4 linked regions of the Arabidopsis thaliana genome follow. The protein of the gene in region 2 binds, or shares a complex with, the protein of the main gene of each other region. Each region holds a gene or a part of one and is shown on either strand. Other genes may lie near its edges.

Region 1 (4,386 bases), on a different chromosome or scaffold from region 2:
TAATGATTAATTGCAGTTGTTGTATTCATCTGGAGCTAGTAAATTCGTCGTACACTTGCTAGCGCCATTAGGTTGTTTACCGATCGCAAGACAAGAATTTAAAACCGGTAACAATTGTTACGAGAAACTCAATGATTTGGCCAAACAACACAACGCTAAAATTGGACCGATTTTGAACGAAATGGCGGAAACTAAACCGGATTTCCAATTCACCGTTTTCGATTTCTACAACGTTATTCTTCGCAGGACACAAAGAAACATGAACTACCGTGAGTTACAATTCGCCATTCAAAGTTCCACACTATCATTAATATCGTTATATGCTTTTACTTTGAAGCAAACATTTAATAATACTTGTTGTTATGACTAATTAGGGTTTTCCGTGACGAATATATCGTGTTGCGGTGTTGGGACGCATTATGCATATGGTTGTGGTTTACCTAACGTGCACTCGAAGTTATGCGAATATCAAAGATCCTACCTTTACTTCGACGCACGTCATAACACAGAGAAAGCACAAGAAGCGTTTGCTCATCTTATCTTTGGAGCTGACCCAAATGTTATCCAACCTATGAATGTTCGTGAGCTCATGGTGTATCCTGTTAATGAGCCTATGCGTGAGTTTTGGGAGGATCCAATGGATGAGAAGTTATCGTTAGTCCAATACTAGTGGATCTGTCTACCTCGTTTAGTTCTTGAGCTCACTATTTTCTATCTCTAGATCACGTACGAGCTCTTGGAATTTGTAATGTATTGTTCTTAATTAGTTGCGAAGTAAAATAATTAATACTGTTTAAATCCTCAACTCTGCTTATTTTCATAAGAAAAAAATAATCAATTAATGGGTAATTTGATAGACCTGAGAATATAACCAAAGCATATATATGACCTGCTTTGTGCTCATATTAGACAAGTTTCGGGCCATACGCACTCATTAGAACGAAATGATTGAATTTGGTGGAATCATTTAAGACTTATGGATTTCAAATTACATAACTCACTTGAGTCATTTTATTTACTTTTTTTTTTGTTTTTTTTTGCAATTCTTGTTGTAATGAAATAGTGGAAATGGTTTCAATTTTTAACTGTTCCAAAATTATTTTATAATAAGTGTTGTTTTAGGTTTTAATATAAAATTTTGGTTAAAGTTCCAAATTTTATTTATACTGTTTTAATGTGTTAACTAGAATGAATTAATCATAGTAAAACAATTTTTTTTTAGTTTGTAGTATTTAAAAAAAACGAACACTTGATCTGAAATGCATGGAGTATTTTCTTAGTTACGTTTTCATAGGTGAGAGGTTCCATTTGACATGTTTTTTTATATATTTTATTGAAATATAGGAATATGCATTTAAATCTTCTTCTGCCCTCAATGCATGATCGATCTTCTTGATACTAGTAACAATAAATGTATCTTGAAAATTAAGAATAAATAAAATAGAAATGGGATACCAGTTGTGCATTAACTAGGTGTGTAGAAAAAAGAAAAAAATGAACCTCGAGCAACACGTTATCATATATTCATATTTAAATAACAATATTTTTCAATTGCTAAATTGCTTTTTTCTTAAAAACAATCTTTTTGATAAAAAAAATTCAGTTGCCAAATTGTGTAGTATTTACAATATAAATATAACGTATCGGTCTACGAGCTAAGACACAAAAGCAATCTTCTACTCATTTACTGTTCTGTTTCACTTTCTCTCTCTCTGTATACTCTCTAAATGATGGCAAAAAACTGTAATTTAGTCAGTGTTCTATGTGTATTTTTGGTATTGACCCTCTTTAACAAACCCATCACCGTCGCCGGGCAGAATATTCCGGCGGTGGGCTTGTTCACCTTTGGTGACTCCAACTTCGACGCCGGAAACAAACAGACTCTCACCAAAACCTTACTCCCTCAAACTTTCTGGCCGTATGGAAAATCCCGAGATGATCCCAACGGCAAATTCTCCGACGGCCTCATCGCTCCAGACTTCCTCGGTGCGACATTTTTTTGTTTGTATAACTGAAAGATCTTAATCCGAATTCTACAAAACATAAAACATGCAAAATGATATTTTTTATCATTTAAAACGTTAGTACAAATGACGAGTGTTGGATATTAGTTAATTACTAAAAATAACGGTTAAAATATTTTAAAAATAAAAAAGGTTCAGCTGGTATTCACTTTTCGAAACACATGGATTTTTTTTTGATTTTTTTTCGTTAACAGATTCGGAGATTATATTTGTATTATATGAAAACCTAATATATTTAATGTACAAAATGCAGCTAAATTCATGAGGATTCCGATCGTGATCCCGCCGGCCCTTCAACCGAACGTCAATGTCTCACGTGGAGCTAGTTTCGCCGTCGCTGATGCTACTCTACTCGGAGCTCCGGTGGAATCTGTAAGTCAACTTAATTTCTTACTATAATCATCTTATTCAAAATAAATGAACCATGTCTGTCTTTTATTGACCCGGTCATACATAGCCGGTCCTTAATTTACCTTCAGGTGGCCTTAGCACAATTGGAAGATGGCCTTCTTAATGATATAAAATATATTAAAGGTTTTACCAAATTACTGTTTTTATTTTTTTTGGCGAATGATTTAGTATATATCTTCTGGTCTAAAGCATGTGCTTGACCTGTCTTATGGACTAGCCTGGATCATACTAAACGGCATATTTTTGTTTTATTAAAGACATCTGACTTTAACTGCAATTATAATTTTGTCTTTTTGTCTTTTTTTGTTTTTTTAGTTGACTCTGAATCAACAAGTGAGAAAGTTCAATCAAATGAAAGCAGCAAATTGGAATGATGATTTCGTGAAGAAGTCAGTGTTTATGATATACATTGGTGCAAACGATTACTTGAATTTCACCAAGAACAACCCTAACGCCGATGCATCTACTCAACAAGCTTTTGTCACTTCCGTGACCAACAAGTTAAAGAACGATATCAGCTTGTTGTATTCATCAGGAGCGAGTAAATTTGTGATCCAAACCCTAGCTCCATTGGGTTGCTTACCCATCGTCAGACAAGAGTTCAACACCGGGATGGATCAATGCTATGAGAAACTCAACGATTTGGCTAAACAACACAACGAAAAAATTGGACCGATGTTGAACGAATTGGCTAGAACAGCTCCTGCATCAGCTCCTTTCCAATTCACCGTCTTTGATTTCTACAACGCGATTCTTACTAGGACGCAGAGGAACCAAAACTTCCGTGAGTTGGTTAATTATCATGGTTTAATTTCATTTTTAAATTTTTTTATAACTTCTAATACCATGTGTTTAATATTTGCCATTCTTAGGATTTTTCGTTACGAACGCATCGTGCTGCGGAGTTGGGACACATGATGCTTATGGTTGCGGTTTTCCTAACGTACATTCGAGGCTATGCGAGTACCAACGGTCTTACCTATTCTTCGACGGACGTCACAACACTGAGAAGGCGCAAGAGATGTTTGGTCATCTTCTTTTTGGAGCCGATACAAATGTTATCCAACCGATGAACATCCGTGAGCTTGTCGTTTACCCTGCCGATGAACCTATGCGTGAGTCTTGGGTGCCCCCAACGTCAGCCACCGTTCAACTCAGGGAGAGCCGCGGTTACGAGTATTACTGAGTCTCTAAAATCAATATTTAGGGATCGATCGGGGTTTCTATAAGGGTTATGAGTCAAATTATAACTGGATCAATATCGGAATCTTGAGTAGTTTTAATTTCCAATGTTTTCATGTTTCTCTAGTGAGTTTTCCTCCATAATAAAAGATTGATCTCTGCAACTCTTACCCCTTGCAAATCTTTTATTTAAAAGAAACAAAACTTTTACATAAATTTATTTCTTTTTTTTGTCAACCACATATTAAAAGGTAATTCCATAATTAAAAAAAGAAGGCACAAGAAGCGTTTTCTCATCATCTTATCTTTTGGAGCGGACCCAAATGTTATCCAACCTATGAATGTTCGTGAGCTCATTGTGTATCCTGTTAATGAGCCTATGCGTGAGTTTTGGGAGGATCCAATGGATGAGAATATCATCGTTAGTCCATGACGTCGACGTCGATGCTAGTGAATCTATCTAACTCGTTTAGTTCTTGAGCTCACTATTTTCCATCTCTATACCATGAACGAGCTCTTGGAATTTGAAATGCGCTGTTATTAATTTGTTGAGATTTAAAATAATAATGTAACCTCAACTCTGTTTTTTCCATAAGAAAAATCTCAATGAGTAACGTGATAAACCTGACAATATGAACCAAAGCGTGTCCAATGACCTGCTTTGTGCTCAGATTAGACAAGTTTCGGGCCACATGCACTCCATTAGAACAAAATGATAAATTTTGGTGGAATCAATTTAAGAAGGTAGTGGATTCAATTTGAGACCTTT
Region 2 (3,966 bases):
ATGATGACTTCTTTTAAGCTTAAAAAATACGTTATCACACTTTGAGTTTGAGCACGTCGAGCCTACTACACTCGTGAGACGTGTGTGGATCAGATCAGATCAGATCTCCTCCTTACGCGGCTGATCCAATATAAAAATATTGTAAATCAATTAGAAAGATGGAAAAATCCAAGATTAATATATTGCAAACTGAATTTCAAAAAGGGAAAATTCCAAGATTAGCATTACATGGGCTGGATCAGTTGATTGGTAAGGCCTAAATGCCAAATCACTAAAAGTTAGGACGCAATCTATCCCAGGTTTGCCAAAGCCGAGCCAAATTAATACATTCCAACAATCCTTTTTTCATATACTTTCATTTTTTTATCAGTATGATCATGACCACCCAATTAACCAATTTTTACTTACAAAACCTAATACTATTTTCAAAAAACTTTTATTTATACCTAAACAATAATGAACTTTAATCTATGATTATATGATCTATAGTCCCCATGTAATAATTGGACTTCATTTAAACATATTAAACATATATTCGCGGGTCTTTACCTAAAACAAAATTAATTCAGTAAAATGTTAATCTGAATACGCTAAACACACTTGCAGTAACTTAATTTAGTATGGATCGAACGTTGTTCACGATGGGACTTAATGTGCAATTTATAGGGATGGAATCAACCACCTTTATTCAAATCTATCATACGTAACATTATATAAAGACCAACATCACAAAAGAGAACGCTTAAAAACATTTAAACATAGATAGGCATAACCATCATAGGTATAACAAGTTATTTTCAAGAGATCACATTAACAAGTTCGATGGAAGCGAAGGAGGTAGCTGTAATGTGATCAGTTGGTGAGTGGCATGACATGGACTCCAAACTGATGAAGCAACTCACTGGCTTTTCCATGGAAGCCAACGATCTTGTGCCCTTCCTCTTTAAGTTCGAAGGCTGTGCCAGCTTCAAGTCCAAAGGGAGCAGACGTTTGTTTATTAGTCTTGAACCTAAGCATAGTTATGATTAGGCCATCACTCCCAAAGATTTTATCATAGGTGCCTTCAACTGCGGTGATGTATTCACTTGGATAGTCAATCTCAAACTGCAATTAAAGGATTTTAAATCATATAGATCAATCTGCTTACTGTCAATTAGTTTTAAGAAAATGAAAAGATACAACATATTTTGAATTTTGATAGCAAAAACAAAAAATACCTCCTCGAATCCGAGTAAAGTAGGCTTTCCATGTTCACCTCCTACGATATTCTCCGCGCCTTTGTTGTACTCAAACTTAACGGCTGATATCCCATCTTGGCCTTGTCCTACGTACACCTTCTTGACACCATCGTACGCACCGTCGTCCCATGCAGTTCCTTCATCACCACCAATTGCAGATAGTTTTTTGGCAGGAGTCACAGGAGTTGTGGTTGTAGCAAAATATGCTCCAAGAGCATATAAAGCTTCACCAGCGCGTCCATGGAAGCCAACAAGTTTACCACCGTTTTTGTCCTTGAGTACAAACTTCTTTTGCGTTTCCAATCCATAGGGTGGAGATGTTTTTCCCTTGAATGTATTGAAGGTAATAGATGTGATGATGTCAGAGTCTTGGCCAAACACGTTGTCGTAGGTCACTTGCACTGCTACTATGTAGTCGTCTGCATCAACCTCAAACTGCAATGATCGAAAAGATACCTCTCGTGAGTAGAGATGTTGTATAGATTAACTCAATCTAGACCGTATTAGGTGTGAATTGGTCTAGTCTTAATTGGTTCTCATTTTACAAAGCTTTAAAACTGATCCGAACAAGGCTAATAAGTTAAACTCAAAGAGAGTGGTAGCAAACACCACTACATACCGTTTCAAATCCAAGTAACGTTTTCTTTCCGTGTTCACCTCCTTCAACATCCTGAGAGTCCTTCGCATACACGACGTTGATAGATGACACACCATCTTGGCCTTGCCCTACATGCACCTTTCTAACGCCATCGTGGACACCATCATCCCATGAAGCTCCTCCGGCGCCACCCCCTGCTTCCACTTTTTGAGCCATCTTTTTGAATATTAATTAGTTACCTGTACGTATTAGTAGCGTACACGATTAGTTTTATTAACCAAACTCTACAAAACTATTATCAGACGAGAGACTGAGAATTTACCTGAGGAGAGAGGGAACGAGTTATTGATATGCATTACAATGACCTTCATGCGTATTTATTGATTATTTTTATTTCTGGATAAAATGTGTAATTATTGATATCATTGAATGTAGGCCACTAATTAATCTATAGAAATGTTAATATAATCTCGTGATCCACGAGTCATTAAAATATTAGAATGTTGTGAATATGAAGCAAATAAGTTGAATTGGAGTAGTTGATATTACTGATCTGTAGTTTTTTTTCCCTTTTTTTCCTTTGCTCACATAATACATGTTTTTCTCAACAATAGTTGTTGATCAAAAAAAAAAAAAAATCAACAATAGTTACAATTTTTGAAACCTGGTTAGATTTTACCCGTTATCCAATTGCTCATATGGTTTATATATATATATATATGTGTGTTTTAATATTATTTGATCATTACATAATTAACATATTATATTTCCATATATATTCTTAAGAAGAAAAATATGTGTTTGAAAAAAAAAAAAAATTAAACATACTGTATAATAAATTAAATCTAGATACTAAGTGGAGTGTACCTCCTTCGAAACGGACTGCGCGTAGTCTGGTGTTGGATTTTGATCAAAATGACCAATTCTCCAATTATGGCGAAGTTTTCTTGTTTCTCACTTTAAATAATGCTAAAGTCTTAAAGATAATTGTTTCCATCATACACTAGATGCCGAGATACTGAGTATGAATATAAGCTTTTCTCCTAATGTGCAACTGATATGTATAATAATCACCCACTTTTATTAAAGCCAATCACATATAATATTACAGGCATAACAACTTCACAAAACACCATACTTAAAGACACTTAAAACATAGATAAACAGAACAAGAAAAATTAGAAAACTTAAAACTTAATGAAGATATCACACGTGACAAACTTGGTGGTATAGAAGAGACATATATATATATATATATATGTGATGATCAGTTGGTGACAGGAAGGATATGGACTCCAAACTGATGAAGCACCGCACTTACTTTTCCATGAAACCCGACGATCTTGCAACCTTCTTCTTTGAGTTCGAAGGCTGTGCCAGCTTCAATTCCAAAGGGAGGAGACGTTTTCTTATTAGTTTTGAACCTAAGCATATTTATGACTTCAGTCTCAAAACCAAATATTTTGTCATATGTGCCTTCAACTGCAGTAATATATTCACTTGGATAGTCAAGTTGGAACTGCAATTGATGGAAACCAAATAAAACAATTGAGTTAGTTAAAATATTTTATATCAAAAATGGAGATATTCAACACTAGCTAATATAAAATATGCATGATTTTATCCACGAAAGTTTATGTGGATTCCCTTACCCAAGCATATTTTTGTGTAAGATATTCATATCATTTTGTAAAAACATTTCACATTCAACCACAAGAGAAGAAAGCAAGAAGTATTATACCTCTTCAAATCCGAGTAGAGTATCATTTCCATGTTCATCTCCTACAATATCCTCGGCGCCCTTATCGTACACAAACTTCACGGCCGATATACCATCTTGGGCTTGCCCTATATACACTTTCTTAACACCATCGAAAGCACCATCATCCCAGGCAGTTCCTTCGTCACCACCAACAGCCGGTAGTTTCTTGGCAGGAGTCAAAGGAGTTGTGGTTGTAGTAAAATACGCTCCAAGAGCATATAGAATTTCGCCAGCGCGTCCATGGAACCCAACAAGTTTGCCACCGTTCTTTTCCTTGAGTACAAACTTATTTTCGGTATCTAATCCGTAGGGTGGCGAGGTTTTTCCCTTGAATGTAGAGAAGGTTATGGATGTGATGATGTCGGAGT
Region 3 (4,783 bases), on a different chromosome or scaffold from region 2:
GCTCACTATTTTCCATCTCTATACCATGAACGAGCTCTTGGAATTTGAAATGCGCTGTTATTAATTTGTTGAGATTTAAAATAATAATGTAACCTCAACTCTGTTTTTTCCATAAGAAAAATCTCAATGAGTAACGTGATAAACCTGACAATATGAACCAAAGCGTGTCCAATGACCTGCTTTGTGCTCAGATTAGACAAGTTTCGGGCCACATGCACTCCATTAGAACAAAATGATAAATTTTGGTGGAATCAATTTAAGAAGGTAGTGGATTCAATTTGAGACCTTTTTTACCCTCTTTTTTTGTTTGCAATTATTCTTGCAAGGTAATATTCGAAATGATTGGCAACAAAGAAAATAAAAAGTAGAAATTATAAAGTTCCAGAAAAGATAAGTTTATACATCTGGCTTTGGGGCCGGCTATATTTACAGTTAATTTTCATATGAAATAAAACCAAAAATCATATATATAGATAATAGATGAACCAAACAAATGAGGCGTTCTTCATATAAAACTTCATCTTCACGTAAGCAAATGTGTTTTATTTTTATCTAGTTTCTGCACTCTTTTAGAAACAAAATTGTTCACCTTTCTGTCGTTCTAATGATTCCAATCAAATTGATAATTACTAGAACTTACAAACGAATAAGGACCAACTCTTCTGTATTTGATATAGACACTCTCTCAAAACTTAATCTTCTCTAATCTTCACTGTAAATCTTAAGGAACAACTCTCCACAAGTTTTTATAATTTATATATACATAACTAAGCTATTACCTATACTATTAAGATTGTGTCAACGCAAAATTGAGTTATTCTTTCTTATTTAAATTTGAACTATTAAAAATATGTAAATAATTAACGAAAATCTTTGTCAAAACACTATTAAGAAAATAATTTCAAAAATTAACATGATGATAAAATATAGATTGTTAATTGTTTTTTTTAATTGTTTTCAAGTAATTTAATCAATAATATGATGAGGATGATTAAGGAAATTACTATAATTTATCTTTTAAAGAATATCTTAGCATAGGTATGAGTTGTTTTTGCAAAATTTTAATAATTGATTTAAGTTATCTAAACGTTATTAAAATTATTATCCAAATTATCTATAATTATCCGAACATATTCGTCTCTTGTCTATTCTGGTAGTGATATTTTATGTATCTATATTATTCATATATCGTATCAGTATAATCTGACTTATTTAAAAATATCTATTTGATATGTATTTTGATATTAAAAATATTTTAATTCGAGTTGTGTACTCGTAAATTATCCAAAAGTTTTAGCAGAAATAAACATATCTACGTATATGTTGGTGTTGAAATTTTTTTGTTGAATTTGGCTAGTCAGCAAAATTTAGTTTTATGCAAATGGTTACTGCAGAAATTACTGAATCTGGTTTAGTGTTACCATTTACACCCTATATTTCCGTGAAATTTGTATGTTTAATTCTACTTCTTGCCTCTAAATGCACGATCTTTTCAGCACTTCGAAGAGGTTAAAGTGACTTTTACCCGATGAGAAGGGAATTGTGTGGCAGATAGAATTGCTAGGGAATCTCTTTCTTTTCTGAATTATGATCCCAAATTGTATTCTATATTGCCGGATTGGGTTAAAGCTTATGTGTATTCAGACTCTTGTGTAATTGTAAGTTGTTGTTGAACCAAAAAAAAAAAAGCACGATCTTTCTTGGTACTCGTAGTAACAATAGATATTTTGTTGAGAATTAAAAATAAAGTAGAAGAGAAACCAGTAATGCGTCAGACGTGATTAAGCGAACTATATAATATAATTGATCGATAATCGTTTGCTAGTGCGTTAAATAGGTGTATAGTAAAATGAACCTCGCGCTACACGTTATTATTTGTATAGTAAAATGAACTATTATTTTCATTGCCAAATTGTAGTACTTGCAATATAAATATAACGAATCGGTCTACGAGCTAAGGCACAAAAGCAATCTTCTTCTCTTTTCACAGTTCTGTTTCTCCCTCTCTCTAAATGATGGCAAACAACTGTAATTTAGTCAGTGTTCTATGTGTAATTTTGGTATTGACCCTCTTTCACAACCCCATCACTGTCGCCGGACAGAATAGTCCGGTGGTCGCCTTGTTCACCTTTGGTGACTCCAACTTCGACGCCGGAAACAAACAGACTCTCACCAAAACCTTAGTCGCTCAAGGTTTCTGGCCGTACGGAAAATCTCGAGATGATCCCAACGGCAAATTCTCCGACGGCCTCATCACTCCGGACTTCCTCGGTACGACTTCTTTTCTAATCGAATCCTACTCTAATCTTTAAAACATTAAGTATGTTAAAAATAGTATGATTACGTAAAAATAATCATAAACAGTAGTATTTATAAATGCATTTTAAGTATGCTACTAGTGAATTACTTAAAAAATAGTAAATAGTATGATTAAAAAAAAGATTATAAATGCATTGGTTCAGCGGCTATTCACTTTTCGGGACACATTCTATGAAATTTTATTTATTATTTTCGTCAACAGATTCGGAGATGTAGTACAAGGAATGATTTGATATTATATGAAAAACTAAAATATTTTTAAAATACAAAATGCAGCTAAATTCATGAAGATTCCGCTCGCGATCGCGCCGGCGCTTCAACCGAACGTCAATGTCTCACGTGGAGCTAGTTTCGCCGTCGAAGGTGCTACTCTACTCGGAGCTCCGGTGGAATCTGTAAGTAAACTTAATTTCTTATTATATAAGAGTCATGTATATATCTATAGTCAACACCTAATTCAAAGAAAATCAATTATATCTGTCTATTATTGACCCGGTCATACTAAGCGGGATTCTTTTTGTTTTACTTCACAGAAAAGCATGTGACTTAATATCAATAAGCTTTACTTTAATTGCACTTATAATATTGGTTTAATTTTTGTCTTTTTCTCTTTTTTGGTTCTTTAGATGACTCTGAATCAACAAGTGAAAAAATTCAATCAAATGAAAGCAGCAAATTGGAACGATGATTTCGTGGCAAAGTCAGTATTTATGATATACATTGGTGCAAACGATTACTTAAATTTCACCAAGAACAACCCTACCGCTGATGCATCTGCTCAACAAGCTTTTGTTACTTCCGTGACCAACAAGTTAAAGAACGATATTAGCGCGTTGTATTCATCAGGAGCGAGTAAATTCGTGATCCAAACCTTAGCTCCATTGGGTTGCTTACCCATCGTCAGACAAGAATACAACACCGGGATGGATCAATGCTATGAGAAACTCAACGATTTGGCTAAACAACACAACGAAAAAATTGGACCGATGTTGAACGAAATGGCTAGAAACTCTCCTGCATCAGCTCCTTTCCAATTCACCGTCTTTGATTTCTACAATGCCGTTCTTACTAGGACGCAGAGGAACCAAAACTTCCGTGAGTTGGTTAATTATCATGGTTTAATTTCATTTGTTTTAGTTTTATAACTTCTAATACCAAGTCATTAATATTTGTCATTCTTAGGGTTTTTCGTCACGAACGCATCGTGCTGCGGAGTTGGATCTCACGATGCTTATGGTTGCGGTTTACCTAACGTGCATTCGAAGCTATGTGAGTACCAACGGTCTTTCCTATTCTTCGACGGACGTCACAACTCCGAGAAGGCGCAAGAAATGTTTGCCCATCTTCTTTTTGGAGCCGATACAAATGTTGTCCAACCGATGAACGTCCGTGAGCTTACTGTTTACCCAGTCGATGAACCCATGCGTGAATTTTGGGTGCCTCCAACGCCAGCTACTGTCCACGCCAGCGACTCTAGCTCGTCCACTAGCCGCGGTTACGAGTATTACTGAGTCTTTTTAAAACTCAATCTTTAGGGTCAATCAGGTTTTCTACAATGGTCATGAGTTAATTTATAACCGAATCAAAATCGGAATCTTGATGTTTTTGATTTGCAATGTTTTCCTGTTTCTCTAGTGAGTTTTTCTCTATAATAAAAGATTGATCTTATCAACTCTTTCCACGTCCTGGAATTTATCGAGAGTTCATTAGTCTATCGATTTACTCTAATCTATTCGATATCTTATATTCCTTCTGTTCATTTTTGTTTGATTTTTTAGAAAAAACATAAATATTAAGAAAATATATTAAATGTTGCTTTTAAATGTATTGTTTTTTGTGATTTACAATTTTCAATAACTCTAAACCAATGATATTTACTAATTTGTATTGAAGTTTACAATTTATCAATTATAACTAATAACTATTGTATTAAAAATCTAAAAAATCAATATTTTTGAAATAATTTTTTTTCTAAACAATTAAACAAAAAGAAACAGAGTAAGTATAAATTATGTAAAAATATATGACTGATTCGTTTTATGACACCGAATTAAAATAATAAGCTAATTCCTTTTGGTTTCTTTTGACCCAACAATAAGCTAATTATAATTATAAAACGAATATGATAAAGTATCTTTTACCAGCTGGGAAAATATAATACTCCCAAACTGAAAATAAATATCATTACCAGTTGGGATTATTTTATTACAGTAAATACATATAGTGGGCATTAGTGATCTGATTTTGTGGATCATAAGCGACAGGAAAATAAAAATATAATAAGACCAAACAAATCTCATCCGCTAAATCTGGTCATAAGTTTAAGTATTTTTTTTCTATTTAAATAAGAAAAAAATGACGCTAAATCTGGACATAAGTTAAAACATACAAATTGAAATAGTATAATTTAAAAATCTCAATAATTGAAGCAACACACCGATCTTGACTTTATCTCTCCTTTATC
Region 4 (5,614 bases), on a different chromosome or scaffold from region 2:
TTTTAAAAAAAAAATCTTGAAAATCACTATTTACATAAATCGTTTTTGATAAGTGACTACTAGTAAGATAGAATGTGATGATTTCATTATTAACACATACGTTTGATTGTTTTTTTTTGTTTTTTTTTGCTTGCTAAGAATGAAATATGAATTTCCAAAGTAATGAATGATGTTGGTATTGCATGGTGGATTTATTTGGTTGCATCATGCATGGATTTTATTTCCTTAAGGTATATAGAAAATACGCTTGGCCAAATGAGTGAAAAAGAGATATCTTCTCTTGCTGGTCGTCCTGTTTTTTAATCTAAACTAGTGACTTTCAAAAATAAAATATTAGAACTGTTTGGGAAAATGAATTGCCATTGTTTATTTCATCGCCAACGTTTAAGTTGTTAGTTTTTGAAATGTTTGTACTTAGTTGTTAAGACGACGTCAAATTATTTCCTAATCTATTTCTATGTATAGAGGTAAATTCGTATTTTTAATTTTCTAAAACTAATGATATTTTCTTACATCATTTTGTAACTCATAAATTTTTTAATGTTAAGGTTGTATGATTCAATTTTTCTTCAAGTTTGGAAGGTAAAACATATTTAACTTCACATATTGATTCTCAAAAAGGATAACGTCATTAAAACTAAAGCCTTCTTGATCTTGTCGAATAAGCTAGAGATTGAAGGAAAACGAAACACTTTTATTATTATTAACCACGACTCATGAATCGTGCGTGGTCAATCACAAACTAAAACATAGGAAAAACATCGAATAGAAAACGAAATCCTCAAAATATAACTTAAAGCTCATCCCTCTTGAGTGCGGATGGACGAACACCTTGAGCGAGGAAATCTTTGTAATACTTGGCTGATTCTTTCTCATAACGTGTGAGGTTATTTTTGAAATCGACGTAATAGAGTCCGAATCTGTTTTTGTAACCATCTTGCCATTCGAAGTTATCCAACAATGACCATACAAAGTATCCCGTAACTCTCACCTTATCGATGCTGCACAAACACAATTATGTTCTTAATTAGACCATTCAATAGAATCGTTAGTCAATCTATCAAATAATAAAAGGCTTACCAAATAGCCTCGTTCATAGCCAGAAGATGCCTCTGAAGATAATATTTCCTGTTATGATCAGCAGTACCAACGTCAACCGAATCTGTGGTCCCAAGTTTATCTCCATATCCTAGAAAAAACAACATTATAATGATCAGTATATTACTCTTAAGAGTTAAGATTAAATCAACACACAAATATAACAATAAATCTCGAGTTACCATTTTCCATTATCATAATCTCCGGGTTTGCGTATTTGTCCTTGATGTACTTTAAAAGCTTTCTAAATCCTTTAGCGTAGACGGGCAATGCAGCAGTAAGAGGCTGAAATAAAGCAATGGTGAAAATGTTATGTCGTAGACAAAAATTAACAATCACAAACTAGGACTAGTTTAATCAAACGCTTACCATGCTACCAATGGCGCTGTGATCTACATTCTTAGCTGAAAAATAAAAAGTGAAAATGTATGCATATCAATTAGTATTATAAAACCTTTTATCTTTAGTTTCTTGGTTTGGTTTCATGTACGGAAAACAAAAAAAAACTTACGTTCCCAGGAAACAAGAGAATCTTGCTTCCAACTTGGTTTAGACGGATCTGGCTTCTCATTATAATTTGAAAATGTCGAAGTATAGTAGTTAAGCCCTACGAAATCGGTCGAATCTTTCAATTTTGCTTTTTGTGCAGCAGTAAATTGAGGCAATCTGTAACCAAGAAGGTCTTTCATGATTTGTGGATAATCTCCCGAAGTAGTTGGCTCCAGATGCCTACACAAAATTAATAACTACATTAATTTTTATGAAATTATATACGAGAAACCATTTTCTAACATAATATATACTTACCATCCCAACATAAAGTCAAGTACACGGCTAACAGTTGGAGCGTCATTTGAATCTTTAAGATCATGTGGTTCGAACCAAGCCGGACTATGTGCGATTCCGATTTTCCCACCTTTAACCTATGTCCATAAACACAACACAAAACAACCTATTTTAAGATTCGAAACCTGATAATTAATTGTGATTTATATCTAATGTGACCTGATAATTAATTATGATTTATATCTAATGTAAACTACCTTTTGGCGGAAAACTTCAACAGCTTCTGCGTGAGCGTTGAGGAGATTGTGACTGACTAGATAAGCCTCTTTACCAGATTGTCCCTCTCGGTCTTCGCAACCTGGAACGTAGCGAGAACAACGTCCTGGTGCTTTCTTTCCTAAGTCGTAACCTGCGTGAGCAAAGACCCATGGCTCGTTGAAAGTGATCCAGTTTTTCACTTTTCCACCGTATTCAGTGAAAACATAATCTGCATATTCTCGAAAATCTTTCCTGTATTTTTGCAAAAAAAAAAGATACCAAATTAATAATTTCCATATAAACTTAACTAAATGTATTTTGTTTAATTTACAAAAACATACACAATGTTTTGGCTTAAGAAACCGCCATATTCGTCTTCCAAATCTTGTGGAGTGTCCCAATGGAAAACAGTCACAAACGGAACTATACCTATTTATGACGTAAAATAGAAAGAAATGTTAAATAAGGATACTATATTACTTGTATTTTTGTGAACTAGGTATTTTATATGTATATAACCATTTTTAAGGAGTTCATCGATGAGCTCGTGGTAGAATTGCACACCAGCTTGACTCACTCCCTTCTCCTTTCTCCCATCTAATAAAGCATTACAGTTTGTTTCATTAGTTATTGATACTTCAACATTCACATATACATCATCTAAATTCATTGGTTATTAGTATTATATAACAATCACATAAATCTAATTTCACCAAATTCGATTAAAACAAAATCAAACTAGAGATCTGCAGACATATACTCACGAGGAAATATTCTTGACCATGCGATTGAGAGTCTGAATGCATCTGTGTTTAGATTCTTCATTAGCTGAATATCTTCCTACAAACATTTTTAAGACAAGGCAAAATTTCAATAACATCTCGAGAATATAAGTTATGTTTGTCTTAAATTTATATTAATATATACCTTATAACGATGGAAGAAATCAACGGCCACATCGGCGTGGTCGCCACTACATCTCTCTGTAATTTGAAAGTAATTAAGAAAATTAATGGCTATGTATTGATATTAATTAGTTAAATTTAATTTAATATTTAAACATACTGTATTGAGAATGTAGATTATACGAGTACACTCACCTGGATTTCTTCTACAGTAGATATCCCATAGAGCCGGTCCACGACAAGTTTCATTAATTGCACCTTCGACCTAATGACATAACAAAAAATAGTTGATGAGTTGAGGAATATCACATGCACAAATGATTTCAAATGATAGGTATAACATATTTTGAGCAACTTTTACATAAAAAAAAACCATATTTTAAAAATATGGATTTGAATTCAGATAGAAACACAATAACGACACTACTTTTTGTTTTTTGAACTATGATTTAGTAAATCTGTTGTACCTGAAACGCAGCAGTAGCCGTGCCAAACAAAAACCCATTAGGGAAACTTGCTCGGCTTAGCTTGGAAGTCGCCGGGCAAACAGGATCATCAACCGCTGTTGTCACAGAGACGAGGATGGTTAGGAGCAAAAGCAGCCCCATGAGAGGAAACTTTTGCAATGCCATTTTTGTTTTTAGTTTCTTCTGGAAGAGAACAAGTTTATGATGATTTGTTTACATCCAATCGGAGTTCTTTATATAGCGATTTTGATTGTTTGTTAACGAGTGACTAAAATATAATTGTTTAGTAAAACTATTTTATATATAGGATGATTCATTGCATGACCTCGACCGTTGTGTTCTTACTTAGTTTGGAACATATTATATTGTGCGTGGAACTAATATAAGTTCTTCATCCATTTTGGATTTAATTATTTGATTAGTCCATTTTGGATATCATAATCTCCCAATATGATTATTTGTGTTTCATAATAAACCTTTTTCGGAATAACTCTTATGTACTTTGTCTATGGTTTCGATAATTAACTATGTTCATATATATATAAATATATAATATTGGTGTTTTATATAATTTAATAATTGTATATTATTTATTTGGTAATTTTTGGTTTAAACCACTGTCGCATCTACTGCTAAGCCAATCATAAAATTGCCGTAAATACACATATTTTTAACTGTAAACCAGTCATTTAAAATGTCCGATAACGTTTAAAACCTCAACCAATTACTTCCATTAACTTCCACAATGACAACCACACCCCGTTGCATTTAAACCAACGAAAACCCTAAATAATAACAAGCCTATTTTTGATACTCAAATAATTGGAGACTTTATTATTTTTCAAAACTTAATTGTAAAAACATATTTTTTAACTTGTTTAACGAACATTACTCTTAATCTTTCATAAATCAGTTTCTAATTCGAAAAAAAGTTATACCTTATTCTGAAAAAATTCAGGTAGCAAGTAAAGGATCTCTCATTTAATGTTTGGACTAATGAATGACTAAACTATATGAGTATGTATTTAGTAAGACTATTTTTATAGTATATAGGATGCTTCATGGCACGATCTCGATCATTGTATTATATATAGTTTAGTAAATCTATTTAATAAATAGGATGATTCATTGCATTATCTCGATCATTGACTAATTCTTACTTATTTTTCCTAGTTTGGAACATATTATATTGGGCGTGGAACATATAATATAAAAACGTGACTTAAAAATATATCATGTATGTCCAAAAAAAAAGTTTACAGCATGAGGAGTCCTCGAACCAATCGGCCGGCCCTAAGTCAATGGATCATTTAGTGCCTCGTATAGATCTAGATCGAGTTTTGGATCTTATTTTGTTATGGACGTTAAGTTATTAATGTGTTAGTGACTAAAATATAAATATATAATACAACTGTTTAATAGGATGACTCATTCCATGATCTATATGGTTTACATTACTTTTTTGTTTTCCAATATATAGTCCTCGTGTCTAAAACTCTAAACTAAATTATATCCTCTTTATATTTTATAATTGACACATTTTGCGCGAATAAAAAGACAAATCATTAACTATACAAATATACCATTACTTTATTAGATGATATTTCCTCTATTTCAAATTATATGATGTTTTAGATTAAAACACACACTTTAAGAAATTTATTTTTAATTATAAAATTTGTTCTCTTGATATTAAAAATACAAAATACAAACCAATAGTCAAATAATCAAATAAAATATATTTAAAAATTGCATTGATATTAGTAAAACATCCTAAATAAATCTCTGAAATATCCTATATAATGAATCAGAGTGAGTGTTAAATTTAAAACAAAAATATGAATAAATTAAAGAATAAACGTGGAAGTTTATTTGAAAAGTAAAATTGGAAATTTAAAATAACATGTTTTTTTTTGAAACAAAATAAAAATTCCACAAGAACACTAGTGGTTGTTATACAGAAGGACTATTATTAAATATTTTAAATTGGATGATTTCATTGCACGATATATAAACGTTGAGTTGTTTTTTATTTTTCTAAATCTTGAACGTATAATATTCATCATGCATAAACGTTGAGTTGTTTTTTTTATTGAACAG

What was found.
Region 1: JAL33 (region 2) and AT1G54010 share a complex: the UniProt entries of both Arabidopsis thaliana proteins name them as parts of the PYK10 complex.
Region 3: JAL33 (region 2) and GLL22 share a complex: the UniProt entries of both Arabidopsis thaliana proteins name them as parts of the PYK10 complex.
Region 4: JAL33 (region 2) and BGLU21 share a complex: the UniProt entries of both Arabidopsis thaliana proteins name them as parts of the PYK10 complex.

The regions. Positions count from the first base shown.
Region 1 is NC_003070.9:20,158,089-20,162,474, reverse strand, and holds AT1G54010 (GDSL-like Lipase/Acylhydrolase superfamily protein), read left to right. Parts: upstream 1-1,610; 5' UTR 1,611-1,727; coding exon 1,728-1,986; intron 1,987-2,277; coding exon 2,278-2,396; intron 2,397-2,750; coding exon 2,751-3,219; intron 3,220-3,307; coding exon 3,308-3,621; 3' UTR 3,622-3,886; downstream 3,887-4,386. Other genes in the region: AT1G54020 (GDSL-like Lipase/Acylhydrolase superfamily protein), read left to right, coding at 17-269, 375-670. UniProt on the Arabidopsis thaliana protein: Involved in the control of the PYK10 complex size and possibly substrate specificity. May be exported from the endoplasmic reticulum upon interaction with MVP1.
Region 2 is NC_003074.8:5,586,679-5,590,644, reverse strand, and holds JAL33 (Mannose-binding lectin superfamily protein), read right to left. Parts: upstream 2,354-3,966; 5' UTR 2,159-2,353; exon of another isoform or gene 2,076-2,158; 5' UTR 2,053-2,075; coding exon 1,858-2,052; intron 1,674-1,857; coding exon 1,218-1,673; intron 1,105-1,217; coding exon 853-1,104; 3' UTR 560-852; downstream 1-559. Other genes in the region: MLP-300B (myrosinase-binding protein-like protein-300B), read right to left, coding at 3,104-3,355, 3,578-3,966. UniProt on the Arabidopsis thaliana protein: Sugar-binding protein showing significant affinity for (Glc alpha(1-4)Glc)(3) maltohexaose, (Glc alpha(1-6)Glc)(3) isomaltohexaose, Gal alpha(1-4)Gal beta(1-4)Glc, GalNAc alpha(1-3)(Fuc alpha(1-2)) and Gal beta(1-3)(Fuc alpha(1-4))GlcNAc beta(1-3)Gal beta(1-4)Glc.
Region 3 is NC_003070.9:20,153,595-20,158,377, reverse strand, and holds GLL22 (GDSL-like Lipase/Acylhydrolase superfamily protein), read left to right. Parts: upstream 1-1,857; 5' UTR 1,858-2,012; coding exon 2,013-2,271; intron 2,272-2,595; coding exon 2,596-2,714; intron 2,715-2,945; coding exon 2,946-3,414; intron 3,415-3,501; coding exon 3,502-3,830; 3' UTR 3,831-4,224; downstream 4,225-4,783.
Region 4 is NC_003070.9:24,699,317-24,704,930, forward strand, and holds BGLU21 (Glycosyl hydrolase superfamily protein), read right to left. Parts: upstream 3,851-5,614; 5' UTR 3,680-3,850; coding exon 3,515-3,679; intron 3,313-3,514; coding exon 3,243-3,312; intron 3,126-3,242; coding exon 3,070-3,125; intron 2,983-3,069; coding exon 2,907-2,982; intron 2,740-2,906; coding exon 2,662-2,739; intron 2,572-2,661; coding exon 2,484-2,571; intron 2,395-2,483; coding exon 2,142-2,394; intron 2,022-2,141; coding exon 1,906-2,021; intron 1,828-1,905; coding exon 1,610-1,827; intron 1,503-1,609; coding exon 1,468-1,502; intron 1,384-1,467; coding exon 1,281-1,383; intron 1,190-1,280; coding exon 1,081-1,189; intron 1,002-1,080; coding exon 794-1,001; 3' UTR 552-793; downstream 1-551. UniProt on the Arabidopsis thaliana protein: Beta-D-glucosidase active on scopolin >> esculin >> 4-MU-glucoside > DIMBOA-glucoside. No activity with pNP-glucoside, oNP-glucoside and sinigrin as substrates.